Arabidopsis thaliana: one gene and its partner. The protein of the gene in region 2 interacts with the protein of the main gene of each other region in a pairwise test. Each region holds a gene or a part of one and is shown on either strand. Other genes may lie near its edges.

Region 1 (6,303 bases), on a different chromosome or scaffold from region 2:
TGATGTTGTTTTTGGGATTTTCCCCATTTTGCATAAATTTTTGTTGAAATTTACCTTGATCTTTTTTTTTCTTTGAGAAAACCCAGGGACCATCTTTTCGTTTTACAAATTTAGTTTATCATTTATCATTCGTACAAAATATCCTGTATTTTCTTTATATAAAAAAGATCTTGTCTTTATCATCCTTCACTACGACGTTTATTAATTAAAAATCCACCCAAAAATGTCATATTCGTCCCTTTGTCCTTGGATTTTATATTCACTGCTCTAGCAATTACTATACTTCATTTTACACAGATTTTTCAGGAAGTTTGACAATTATGTTGTTTTGGAATTTCGCAGTGAGTTTGAAATTATGAAAGTTCCATTTGGTTGTGAATTATCAAAAGGGGGAAGTGTACAGGGGTAATTTAGGAAGTTTGGGTTATGATAAATGATAATCATATGCAAATCTTAGTTCAGAAGTGCCGCGAATCTGGGAAAAGAATAAGCACAGCTTTTTAAAATTACCTTTAACCCCTTTATTTTAAAACAATTTCTTTATTCGCCTTTACCTTTTTTTATCAACCAAATTTTGCCTCTTTCTCTTTACTCTGCCTATTAAGCAAAAAGCCAAAGATTAGATGGAAACCAATTAACATCAAGTAAGACTGAAGAAAGAAAAAGAGTATTTTAAAATTGCGTACATATGAATCTGTCCTATAAATTTTGAACCTATCCTAATACCACGGACTTATATATGTGAACGTTAACAACACTTTCAAACTCAAAAAGAAGATATATGGATAAGCATTCCACGTAACCGTACATTGTTATGTTCTTTTCTAGATAAACAAAATCTTTGCGTGGTCGAAATTGAAAAATAAATCTTTATATCTGTAAAGAAAATTTCGATGTCACTTTATAAGAAAAACCAATGCTGCATCCCATGAAACAAATTAATTCCAAGAACATTATCCAAAACGAATTTAATGTTATCCAAATAGATCAAGAAAATTAGTTGGACCGTCGAATGAAATGCGATCCTTGCTGATTAGCACATGACGTGTTCATTTATTTTTGCCACCATTCCACCGACCTCAACTCTTCTTTTGGTAAAATTTTATGTTTATGATATCTTGTGATACACAATTTATTACTATTTGGTACATTTTGAAGTATTTGTTTTTGCATGATATATGACGTTAATTTGAACTGATATTAGTCAATTTATGGGTACAAAAGTTGAAAGTTTAGAGCACTATGTTGGATTTATTAAAAATGATATCATACAATGGTTCAATATATATATATTTTTTTCCACGTTTTTAATAACATTTTTGTAAACAAGTCTTCTACTATTGTCTTTATTGTTAATGAGTTTCTAGTACCTAATTAGGAATTTTGAGGATATACGATACATTAATGAGTTACATTATCCCGAAAACAAAATCTTGAAAACGAACAAAGATAATTTGGACATTACTCGTTATGTATACGTATGGAATTGGATAGAGCCGTTGAACCATCAAGTGGGTCTTCAAGTCAACGAACTGAATTTGATTTTACACTCATGTACATCGGCCACAATTTTATTCACACACTACTAACACCTCTGGTGTCCACTTTTTTCTTTCTCTAGATTGATGTGTTAAGATTTTTGTTGCAATTCATTTATTCAGGTATTTTTATATATATATATATATAAATTAGAATAAACTAATTTAAAGAAAGATATAGCAATTATGTTTCACATTTTAACATTCTCAATCATTTATAAAACTAATGTGGTGATGAATGGTATATATATATATATATATATATATATATATATATATTTTGTTGTGAACTAATGGTAAATATTTAAAATAAGACATACGTACATAAATCCACGGACTCTTAAAGTCATGATGCGGTTAATAAATGTTCACATAACGGTAACCAAGTGGCTCAAAATCATGAAACAACGTCACATAATTTATCTTATAATGTGGATAATTAGTACCGCATTATTTGTAAGAAAATTAAATTAATTATAGATTCACAGCTAAGAAAATACGAAAAGACAGCTCAACACTTTTCCACTTCTATTCCCCACTGTCTATATAACTCTGATAAATAATCTCTGATCTCTCCATCTAATATCTCTTTCTCAATTTCGGTTCCACTTTCCTTTCGTTTGCAAAAACCCATCCCATCAAAAATAAACAAGAGGGCCTAAAGAAGAATCCTAAAGACTTTACGGGTCTTGTTTAGGATAAAAGAAATGCCTGCCGGTGGATTCGTCGTCGGGGATGGCCAAAAGGCTTATCCCGGCAAACTCACTCCCTTTGTTCTCTTCACTTGCGTTGTTGCTGCCATGGGCGGTCTCATCTTCGGATACGATATCGGAATCTCCGGTTAGTGTCTCTCTATTTTTCAGATTTTACATTTCCACCCCAAAAGTATCTATGTAGTCATCAACACACCCAAATCAGAAATAATAATTGTCGTTTTTGATACGAAAACATTAGAGTACCCACCCCATATTTTCACTTTAGTCATGATGACACACAAGGCTCAAAATTACAGAATCACCAACAATATTGCAAGTCTTTAAAATTACAAAATCGCCGCACATGTTTTAAAACAGAGTCATGTAAACCCTCATCCATGTCTGATAAATTTTCTCTGGGATATCTGTTAATGAATTTAAAATATTTACAGGTGGTGTGACGTCTATGCCGTCTTTCCTCAAGCGATTCTTCCCGTCGGTGTATCGGAAACAACAAGAGGACGCGTCAACGAACCAGTACTGTCAGTACGATAGCCCGACGCTAACGATGTTCACATCGTCTCTATATCTAGCGGCGCTAATTTCGTCGCTGGTGGCTTCCACCGTGACAAGAAAGTTCGGACGGCGGCTCTCGATGCTCTTCGGCGGCATACTCTTCTGCGCCGGAGCTCTCATCAATGGTTTCGCCAAACATGTTTGGATGCTCATCGTCGGTCGTATCTTGCTTGGTTTCGGTATCGGTTTCGCTAATCAGGTCCGTCATTAAAAAACCTTAATTTTAATTACGTTGGTTTAGTTTACAAATAACCATCCATAATGTGTTTCTATCAAAATTGATTTTTTTTTGTCGAACAGAAAACTAACAAAAATAAAATTGTCTTTAATACTACTATAGAAGTTATTAATGTATTGAAAGTTATATTTATAACCGTTATAAATGTACCTTGGTTTTGGAAAAAAAGTTATGGACTAAGCCAACTACTTTCATTAAACATAATCATAAAATAGTTAGGTCAACTTGACTTTATCAATTTTCTTTTGCTTTTCTACTACAACGATCATTATATTCCACGTTATAGAGTATATGATATTACAATTATTGAATTTTGTTATTGATTTGTTTTTCTGCTAGTATCCACAATTCCACATGGTCTTTTCATTAGACTGTGATGATGTCTCTTTCTCTCCATTTCCATTGTTTTAATTAATTAAAAAAATATATTGTTTTTGACGTCATATTATATATTTTTTAGTTAGGAAAAAGGTCATATTCGGACCTATCTTCGAGTTATAACGCAATGACAAAATTGACCCTGTTTAACTTCCATATTTACGTTCATATCTCTATTTGATCTCGAACAATCAGAATCTTCACTCACTTAAAAAAGTCAGATTAGGACACGTATCTACTTAAACCTGCTAACTACGTAACTAACCCTAGTTAATATCACTATTTACAGGCTGTGCCACTGTACCTCTCTGAGATGGCTCCATACAAATACAGAGGAGCTTTAAACATTGGTTTCCAGCTCTCAATTACAATCGGAATCCTCGTCGCCGAAGTGCTAAACTACTTCTTCGCCAAGATCAAAGGCGGTTGGGGATGGCGGCTCAGTCTCGGAGGCGCGGTGGTTCCTGCCTTGATCATAACCATCGGCTCCCTCGTCCTCCCTGACACTCCCAATTCAATGATCGAGCGTGGCCAACACGAAGAAGCCAAAACCAAGCTCAGACGAATCCGTGGTGTCGATGACGTCAGCCAAGAGTTTGACGATTTGGTCGCCGCTAGTAAAGAGTCGCAGTCGATAGAGCACCCGTGGAGAAACCTCCTCCGCCGCAAGTACCGACCACATCTCACAATGGCCGTTATGATTCCGTTCTTTCAACAGCTAACCGGAATCAATGTGATTATGTTTTACGCTCCGGTTTTGTTCAACACCATTGGTTTCACGACCGATGCTTCTCTCATGTCCGCTGTGGTCACTGGCTCGGTTAACGTGGCCGCTACGCTTGTTTCTATCTACGGTGTTGACAGATGGGGACGTCGGTTTCTCTTTCTTGAAGGTGGTACACAAATGCTTATATGCCAGGTAAGGAACAATTACTACTTTTATTTATCTCTAAGATCTATATAAACATATACTAATAAAGATGTGTTGGTTCACTCTCTGTGTAATTGTAGGCTGTGGTTGCAGCTTGCATAGGGGCCAAGTTTGGGGTAGACGGGACCCCTGGTGAGCTACCAAAGTGGTATGCTATAGTGGTTGTAACGTTCATTTGCATCTATGTGGCGGGTTTTGCGTGGTCGTGGGGCCCACTAGGGTGGTTAGTACCGAGTGAAATCTTCCCGTTGGAGATAAGGTCGGCGGCGCAGAGTATCACCGTGTCCGTGAACATGATCTTCACGTTCATTATCGCGCAAATCTTCTTGACGATGCTTTGTCATTTGAAGTTTGGGTTATTCCTTGTTTTCGCCTTTTTCGTGGTGGTGATGTCGATCTTTGTATACATTTTCTTGCCGGAGACGAAAGGGATTCCGATAGAGGAGATGGGTCAAGTGTGGAGGTCACACTGGTATTGGTCAAGGTTTGTGGAGGATGGTGAGTATGGGAATGCGCTTGAGATGGGCAAGAACAGTAACCAAGCTGGAACGAAGCATGTTTGATTTATCATTGTTTTTAATGAGAGTTTTAAGAAAGAAAGAAAAAAGATTTGTAATTTCTAATGTCGTAAAGGAAAAAGTGTATTAGCCTAGATATTTATTGGTGTTTATATAATTCAATACCACATGAAGAAATTATGCATATGATTCTTCGTTAATTGTCTGTAATTGTTATACTCTTTACTTAAACCAAGTGTTTTCTCTTTGATTCTTCTTTCGCAGCATTGTACTCCAATGAACCACCAACAATATAACTAAGTACCACCAACAAAAATATATTTAGACAAAAATCTAAAAATGCTGAGATCAACAAAGAAAATCCGAGAAGAAGCTAAAAATGCAGAAAATGTTAAATTACAAAGGTTCATCATTGGTAGAACGAAAAGAAAGACAAATTAAGCAGAGAATAAGCTTTGGTAATAATAAACAGCATATCCGGTTGAAGGGTCAAAGAGTAAATCATAAGATTTGTCATGGAGATCATATATCACCCGATGTCCCCAGCTATTTCGACCTTGAAGCAATAGCTTATTCCCGTCCATGATTGCTATTGGAGCCAATGGGTAGCTGAAAGAAAAAAACCAAGAGATATTTACTGTGAGATCTATGGAACACAATTTCTTCCATGTCTTGTTGTTGAAAGTTAAACTTGATTTTGAATCAAGTTTAATTATTGGATCAATTATCCAATAATTAATTATGGCCAAATCCAAGTTCTAGAGTTTTCTCTAGAAATATCATCATTTCCACCTCCTTAAAAGATTCTAGAAATTTTCTAGAATCATCTTCCACCTCCTTAAACATAAAAATCTAGATACTCTAATAGAATAATCTAGATAATTTGAATAATGTAATCTAGATCTTATGTAAGAACTCTCTAGACTTAGGATTAAAATATTTTAGATATTTTGTAGTTTGGAGGCTATAAATACCTCCTCCCCCTCTCAAATGTTGCAATGTTGTGAAGTTGTATTCAAGTTTAAAGCAAAGTAATAAAAGTTCTATTTCCTAAAAAACTCTCTCAAAACACTTAAACACTTTCTCCATTACCTCTAAAAGAATTTTACTCTAACAAAGTGGTATCAGAGCTTGAAGATCCTAAAGATGGCGAGTAATAATGTTCCCTTCCAAGTCCCGGTGCTCACAAAGAGCAACTATGATAATTGGAGTCTACGAATGAAGGCTATCCTAGGAGCACATGACGTGTGGGAGATAGTCGAGAAAGGTTTCATTGAACCGGAGAATGAAGGTAGTCTTTCTCAAACTCAAAAAGATGGTTTGAGAGACTCAAGAAAGAGAGACAAGAAAGCTCTCTGTCTAATCTATCAAGGATTAGATGAAGATACGTTCGAGAAGGTCGTTGAAGCTACGTCGGCGAAAGAAGCAT
Region 2 (7,692 bases):
ACTGCAACTAAGTTTTGAAAATTATTGATGTAATGATAAATGATAATGGTAAACATGATTTATGCACTAATGGGTATTGTTTAATTTGCTTGGTCAAAACTCAGAACTCGAATGACCTTGACTTGTGCAATTAGTTGACGTTTTTAGGTACAGATTATTTTTGTACCAAAGCCAGACACCAAATATATCGAATAAGGGAAAAAATAAGCCCTCTTGGATGAAAAAATACGATCTTCCAATTCTTTTATTTTCACATATCAAAATAAACAATATTGATAAAATCTGAAAAAGAATTTAAAATAATATGCTAGCTCAATATAAAACTACACTTAAAAGTGCTGTTTTCGTGAACCACTTATTTAATTCAAATCATATTGCAAATCAGAAATCTTCTTAATCAACCCATCATCTGCTGACTCATAGGAGGAGCCATCGTCCGTTGCATATTTCCACTCCACCCTATCACATAAAAATAATAAAGTTACATCAAATAATTAATCAAACGTATGAAAGACACTAATTATTTCAATAGAAAGTGAGTCCACAAAACAATGCAATTTACCAATAGAGGGGTCAAGACCACGGGTTTTGAGTTCACGGTGTTCTTGGCAAAGAGCACAACATTCACAAAAGAAGTGAGTGACGCAATCCGAAGTTGGAGACTCCGGTAACCCGAATTTGCTTCGGATCTTGGTCCGGTAAGTGCATGAGAACAAGCAAGGTAAGCCGACCACACAACATATTAGCCCGTAAAATACCCCACATCTCCCACAACCTACGTACATTATATATACGACGTTACGTGAATTCACACACACACACATTGTTTAGATATGACATATGTGAATGTATGGCTTACCGGTCCTTCCTTCGTCGGAAATGTCCGCGATCCGTCCGAAAGTGACGCATGGGCAGAAACATGTGAGGCAAGCTTATCCAGCACAAACCAAAAGGAACAAATCATTATACAATCCTGACAATAGATCTATATATGTATAAAGATTAAAGGACAACTTGATTAAATTTATATAGAATTTCTACCAGTTTCACTGTCTTCCATGCAGCTGAAAAGACCAGAAGTCCATTGCTTTTCCATTGTAAAGTAGCTTCAACCAAATCTTGCGTCAGGTTTTAACCAGTTTTGTGTTGATCGATCTTTTGATAAGCGAGATCGTAAATCAATTAATTAGGGTTTTGAAGATAGATTTTTGTTGTTAGATGCTTTAAGAATGGAGGGTGGGTGGGTATATATATGGTTGATGGTGGATCGCTTCGAGAGATCTACAAATGTTTAATTTTTAGTACATTGCACTTTGGGAAAAATCATAAAAGTTGTAAAAAAGAGTAAAAGACTTTTAAAACTAGTACGTTGCACTTTTTGTTAAAAGGAGGAAGGTTTTTTGAAAATTGATTTTTGTTTAAGGAAGGTGAGAGATTTTACTGATTGTGAGAGATTTTAAGCTACTTAAAAGTAATATGTAAACGCGTTTTTGGGATTGGTTTAATCCACACATATATACAAGATACAAAGAATTTAATTTAATGACTAAGAAAATTAAAGAAATTATGAATAAAAAAGAAATATACATCCTAAAAATGCGAAAGTAAAATAAAACAGGCTATGCTAAATTTTAAAATATTAAATTCAACATTTTTCTATTCATAAAATTTCTATTAAAATTATTTGTAGATAAGAGATAATATGTTCAAACATTATTCCTCTATATAAGGAATCAAACTTGCAAACTTTAAAATAAAATTTTGAAAAATATATCTAATGTAATATTCTGGTTTTATTAGTAAAGTAATATTACTTAATACTAACAAATTACAAAGAAAAGAACTGAAGGAAAAAAAATAAACTTTTAAAATTTTCTAACCAGTGAAATAAATTAGAATTTAAACTTAAAATTTTATTAATTAATAATAGTCATAACAAAATTTGACAAATGTTTTCAACTTAGATGTGCAATAAACATGAATTTATTCTACTAAATCAATACTGGGCCTATGAATGGCGCAAGGAATAGCCCATTGGTTATTCTATATCTTTTGGACCTTACGTTTTTGAAGCCTGTTTAGGATCACACTCATAACAAAAAAATAAATAAGAATTACGCTTCTACCACCATTAAACTCTAATGTATCTGAACTCAGAAGATCCGATCGGAGTAGTAAAAATTCAACAAAACAACAATAAGAAAACTCATTAATTCATTCGTCGGATTCGAAGAAGAAATCACTTCCCAGAAACTTTCTTCGTATCGAAGTATTGCTTGTGTTCTTCGGAGAAACGAGATCGGGATCCGAATACGAGTACAATGGAGGTTTCGCAAGATGGATCGGAAAGAGATAAAACTCCTCCTCCTTCCTCTTCTTCTTCTTCTTCCTCTCCCATTCCTGTCGTCACCAATTTCTGGAAAGGTTTGTTTCAGATTATGTCTAGCTATCTATTCGTTTTCTTCGACTCGTAGTGAAGCTGAGGATGAGCTTGTTTTTGTAGTTAGGAGAAATTCGTTTGTTAGGATTCCGTTTAAGTAGTAAGACTTAATGAGATTCTCACTGAATGTTCGGGGAGATTGCATTGGTAGTTTAATGTGATCGGATTGAGAAATTTCAGTTTATTGCTTTAAAAGTTATCAACACATTTTTCAGTACTGATAACTAGTTTCATCTCGATTCTCCGGCTTTTGTATTTGTTATACGAAACCAGTTTCAATTAGAGAACTGGTTCTGTGGTTGCTCGCTGTTTTGATAGACATCATCATAGAAGAAAGCTCTTCCCGAATGATCCATTTACTTGTCTTTAAACTACTTGTTGCAGAATTTGATTTGGAGAAGGAGAAAAGCCTGCTTGACGAGCAAGGGCTTAGAATAGCTGAAAATCAAGAAAACAGCCAAAAGAATCGCCGAAAGCTTGCAGAGAGCACACGAGGTACTTTTTTGTTTCACCTTTTATATTGCTTAACACTTCAACATTTTCTCCTGAGGGACCTCGATAGGTTCCAGCGAAGAGATGTTAACATATTCTTTGGTTTATCTTGGTAACAACAGACTTCAAGAAAGCTTCGCCTGAGAACAAACTTAGTATGTTTAATTCCCTCCTCAAGGGATATCAAGAAGAAGTAGATAATATTACCAAGAGGGCCAAGTTTGGGGAGAATGCTTTCCTAAATATCTATCAGAAACTCTATGAAGCACCTGATCCGTTTCCTGCTCTTGCTTCTATTGCTGTAATTATCCACTTATCTAATGTTAACATAATAGACACCTAAAGTCCTTTAGCCTGAGAACCAACTAATTGCTGTATTCCAGGAGCAAGATCGTAAATTATCTGAAGTGGAATCTGAAAATCGAAAGATGAAAGTTGAACTTGAGGAGTTTAGGACAGAAGCGACTCATCTTAAAAATCAGCAGGCCACAATAAGAAGGCTTGAAGAACGGAACCGCCAGCTTGAGCAACAGGTCAGCTTGCTTTTAACCTCTTCTTCTAATTGATATAGGGATAAAACTAAATGAATGTAAAGCACAGCTTCCTTGATTATTTTTCAGTCTATTCTAGGAGGTCAAATGCAAATTTATACACTGAGCCATAAGCATGATTTATATAGAGATGCTATTTTGTGATCTTGTAACGAATAACTGTCGAAGATTAGCAGTGATATCGAGTTGTTATATTTGGATTCAGATGGAAGAAAAAATCAAAGAAGTTGTTGAGATCAAGCAACGAAATCTGGCTGAGGAAAACCAGAAAACGATGGAGCTTTTAAAGGATAGGTAAAAAAAAAATTCTCTTCTGCATGCTTTGGGTGTTTAGAAAGTTTTCGAGGAAGCACCAACCTTTCCTTGTTCACTGTTTAACAGGGAGCAAGCTTTGCAAGATCAGTTAAGGCAAGCAAAAGACAGCGTCTCCACTATGCAAAAATTGCATGAGTTAGCACAGAACCAACTTTTTGAACTCCGTGCTCAATCAGGTGGTGCATTGAGCCTTAATATGGTGACTCATATTGTGCTTTCATAATTGGAATGGTCTCCCTTACATATTGTTCCTTCTTGTCTTGTTAATATATGTCACCTTTGTCTAAACCATCAGACGAAGAGACCGCGGGGAAGCAATCTGAAGTTAGTCTATTGATGGATGAAGTGGAGCGTGCTCAGACCCGACTCCTTACTCTTGAGAGGGAAAAGGTCTTTCATATCATGCTCTCTTTGTTTGAATTAAGGGAATGCCCTAAGATAAACCACCGTTTTTAGCTCTCTAATTTTGTTTATTGGTTTGTAACAGGGACATCTGCGTTCTCAGCTGCAAACAGCTAATGAAGATACTGATAACAAGAAAAGGTGAGGTGACACTTATGCGTCCATATAACAAGGAGTCAAATAACTTTTATCTAAGTTTTTGCTTTGTTTTAATTTTTTTGTTATGCTCTTTCTCTACAGTGATAATATTGATTCGAATAGTATGCTGGAGAACTCGTTAACTGCAAAAGAGAAGATTATTTCGGAGCTTAATATGGAGATTCACAATGTTGAGACAGCTTTAGCTAATGAGCGAGAAAGTCATGTTGCCGAGATAAAGAAATTGAATTCTTTGCTCAATAAAAAGGTGAAATTTGTGCTATGTTTTGTCTTTTATGCTGAGAAATTATATTTTGTTCTGAAAATTAGTTTCCGGTCCCTTCAATGTCTAATATTAGCTTACCGTCATTTGGTATTAAACCAGGATACTATCATTGAAGAGATGAAGAAAGAGCTTCAAGAAAGACCATCAGCAAAATTAGTTGATGATTTGCGCAAAAAAGTGAAAATTCTGCAGGTATTCATCATTTCAAGTGTTTTTTGGTGCTCACTTAGTTTAACTTCTTATTAACTTCTTGCCACAGATCCATACCTTGTTCTTTCTGGTAACGGTACGATCGTATGTAGTAATATCATTGTTGCATATTAGGCTGTAGGTTACAATTCAATTGAGGCTGAAGACTGGGATGCTGCTACCACTGGTGAAGAGATGAGCAAAATGGAGTCGCTTCTTCTTGATAAAAACAGAAAAATGGAACATGAGGTCACTCAGTTAAAGGTACATGACCTCTACGGAATGAACCACCACCATCTGTAATTCTGTCTTTTCGTTACTCTTTCCCTTTTCAGTGAACATACACAAGTAAAGTCACTGGTCGATTCACACCACTTCTTTTCCCAGGTTCAACTTTCTGAGAAAGCTTCCTTGCTTGAGAAGGCTGAAGCCAAGGGAGAAGAACTGACAGCTAAGGTTAATGAACAACAAAGACTGATACAAAAGTTGGAGGATGATATTTTGAAGGTACGTAAGAGTGTGTAGTTACCATTTTAAGTTAAAAGGTATCTGTGCTACTGCTACTAAGGAGGAGAAACTCGATCAAAGTCTTTGATTATACTGAAACCTTATTTACTTGTTACACAGGGTTACGGTTCAAAAGAGCGAAAAGGTGCTCTATTTGATGAATGGGAGTTCTCAGAAGCAGGTGTGGCTGAGCAGTCTGAGGTACTTCTCTCTGGCCCTGTGCATATATGAGTCAATGAGTCGTGTAATTTATCATGCAATACTCTTAAAGCAGGAAAATTTTCCCAAAAGTAAAAGAAAGGATGGAATCGTTCAGAACTAAGAGTTAGATAAACAGTAACCTATCGCTTTAAGTTCTCTACTAGATAATCTTAACGGTCTAACATGTATGCTCACTCTGCCTTCTATTTATGGCGTGAATTAAAATATTGCTAGGGAATCGTGGTACGTATATATTTTACCATGATCTATTTTTTTTTCAAAAGCAAAATACCTCTGAACTTCTTGTCAAACCATTAAAAAGTTTTCATACAACTAAGGGTATTTCCATGATATGGTATATTATATACCTCACAATTAGACTTATCACTAACTACTGCTCTTTATCATTTTGTGTTTCCTTTTATTAGCCTATGGATCAGAAACATGTTCCATCAGAGCAAGATCAAAGCTCAATGCTAAAAGTTATCTGCAGCCAAAGAGATCGGTTCCGAGCACGATTACGGGAAACAGAAGAGGTACAGTTAGTTGTACATATAAATGATCCTCTTCCCTCTGTATTCTCTATCTCCAGTTAAATTTATTTGAACTGAATTTTATGTGTTCTCTTAACATTGCAGGAAATAAGGCGATTAAAAGAGAAGATAGGTTTTCTCACAGACGAATTGGAGAAGACCAAAGCAGACAACGTCAAACTCTATGGGAAAATCCGTTATGTCCAAGACTATAACCATGATAAAGTTGTTTCCCGAGGATCGAAAAAGGTATTTGTTTTCTGCGATACATTTCCCTTGAACCTTTTCTGTCTCGTGATCGGGTTTTTTCCATGGTTGATATCGTTTTCCAATCTCAGTATGTGGAAGATCTTGAAAGTGGATTCAGCTCGGATGTCGAATCAAAATACAAGAAAATTTACGAAGATGACATCAACCCTTTTGCAGCATTCTCGAAAAAGGTAAAAAATAAAACATTCTGCTATCATCGACACAAGCCTTATATTTCTTTCCTAAACATTAACCCTTTCCTATTTATATGTGTTTGATAGGAAAGAGAGCAACGGATCAAAGATTTGGGAATCAGAGATCGGATTACGCTAAGCAGTGGGCGGTTCCTTCTAGGAAACAAGTAATCCTCTTGCTCTCAAGTTTATTCACATTCATACTCGATCACAGAATTTTCGGTTATTTTCAATTTCATGATTGGATCTTTCAGATACGCAAGGACATTTGCTTTCTTCTACACAATAGGATTGCACGTCCTTGTCTTCACTTGTCTCTACCGTATGTCTGCTTACAGTTATCTCAGGTAAAACAAACCCACCAATTTTTGTTTTTGTTACAAGTCCATTATGTGATTGATTTTATTTAATTTCTTCTTCTTTATTTATGGTTTAGCCATGGAGCAGAGGAGACTCTAATGACAGAAGCAACCACAAACCTTCCTCACGGTCTTTAAGCTCTCACCCTAGGGACTTATTCGTTTTTGGTCGTTATGTTCTTTCTTGTCCTTGTAGTGTTCCGTGGGCAATTCTAAAACGGTTGAATATTTGTACAGAGGGATCCAAATCACTCGATACATATATAAAGCCACAGAAAAAACTTCCTTCAGAAAACTGCAGAAATCTAAATAAGATCTGGTTTACTTTTCTTCGAAACATAAATAACCATGAAAAATGCACCAAAACGATAACAAATCCGACAGGAATAATTGTTGCTATCCAAATACAAAATAAAATAAAATGAAAGTCGTTGCTTGATATCTGTTAGGCAACAACACCTACGTGGCTGGGCCTTTGAATGCTTGCTTGACAATCGATGGGATAGTGAGGTAGGAGCTGTTATCGGTAAGGCTGGAGCCAATAGGCCTTATTTTCCAGAACGGGCCATGATCAAGAGTTTTCGACCCAAACGTCCCGAAGAAGGGATGGTTAGGAAACATCCTGATATATGTCTGAGAGAAGGCGGCAAGTGCTTCCGCAAGGGGAGGGAGGTTGCGAACTGTGCTTTTGAGCTGGTAACCGAACTCATAGGTTGCACGCTTATCAGCAATACAATTTGGTGATTCTGGAAGATGTTCCGGGGTAGAGAGAACGACCATGACTTGGTTAGCAACCAACCCATGTGGAGAGCAGTCAGCAAGGGTGCCGGATCCTT

What was found. The genes of interacting proteins can lie anywhere in the genome.
Region 1: the proteins of CASP (region 2) and STP1 interact in a protein complementation assay, tested with the Arabidopsis thaliana proteins (one large-scale study listed by BioGRID).

Annotation. Positions count from the first base shown.
Region 1 is NC_003070.9:3,775,215-3,781,517, forward strand, and holds STP1 (sugar transporter 1), read left to right. Parts: upstream 1-2,021; 5' UTR 2,022-2,245; coding exon 2,246-2,378; intron 2,379-2,685; coding exon 2,686-3,008; intron 3,009-3,714; coding exon 3,715-4,344; intron 4,345-4,436; coding exon 4,437-4,919; 3' UTR 4,920-5,609; downstream 5,610-6,303. UniProt on the Arabidopsis thaliana protein: Major hexose transporter. Mediates an active uptake of hexoses, by sugar/hydrogen symport. Can transport glucose, 3-O-methylglucose, fructose, xylose, mannose, galactose, fucose, 2-deoxyglucose and arabinose. Confers sensitivity to galactose in seedlings.
Region 2 is NC_003074.8:6,334,603-6,342,294, forward strand, and holds CASP (CCAAT-displacement protein alternatively spliced product), read left to right. Parts: upstream 1-2,089; 5' UTR 2,090-2,321; coding exon 2,322-2,424; intron 2,425-2,824; coding exon 2,825-2,935; intron 2,936-3,054; coding exon 3,055-3,233; intron 3,234-3,315; coding exon 3,316-3,465; intron 3,466-3,688; coding exon 3,689-3,777; intron 3,778-3,864; coding exon 3,865-3,974; intron 3,975-4,093; coding exon 4,094-4,188; intron 4,189-4,285; coding exon 4,286-4,341; intron 4,342-4,440; coding exon 4,441-4,606; intron 4,607-4,723; coding exon 4,724-4,816; intron 4,817-4,948; coding exon 4,949-5,077; intron 5,078-5,200; coding exon 5,201-5,320; intron 5,321-5,440; coding exon 5,441-5,521; intron 5,522-5,949; coding exon 5,950-6,057; intron 6,058-6,159; coding exon 6,160-6,303; intron 6,304-6,392; coding exon 6,393-6,494; intron 6,495-6,584; coding exon 6,585-6,664; intron 6,665-6,751; coding exon 6,752-6,844; intron 6,845-6,933; coding exon 6,934-6,994; 3' UTR 6,995-7,186; and 1 more. Other genes in the region: AT3G18470 (PLAC8 family protein), read right to left, coding at 398-459, 563-775, 860-931, 1,042-1,096; ILR2 (iaa-leucine resistant 2), read right to left, coding at 7,316-7,692. UniProt on the Arabidopsis thaliana protein: May be involved in intra-Golgi transport.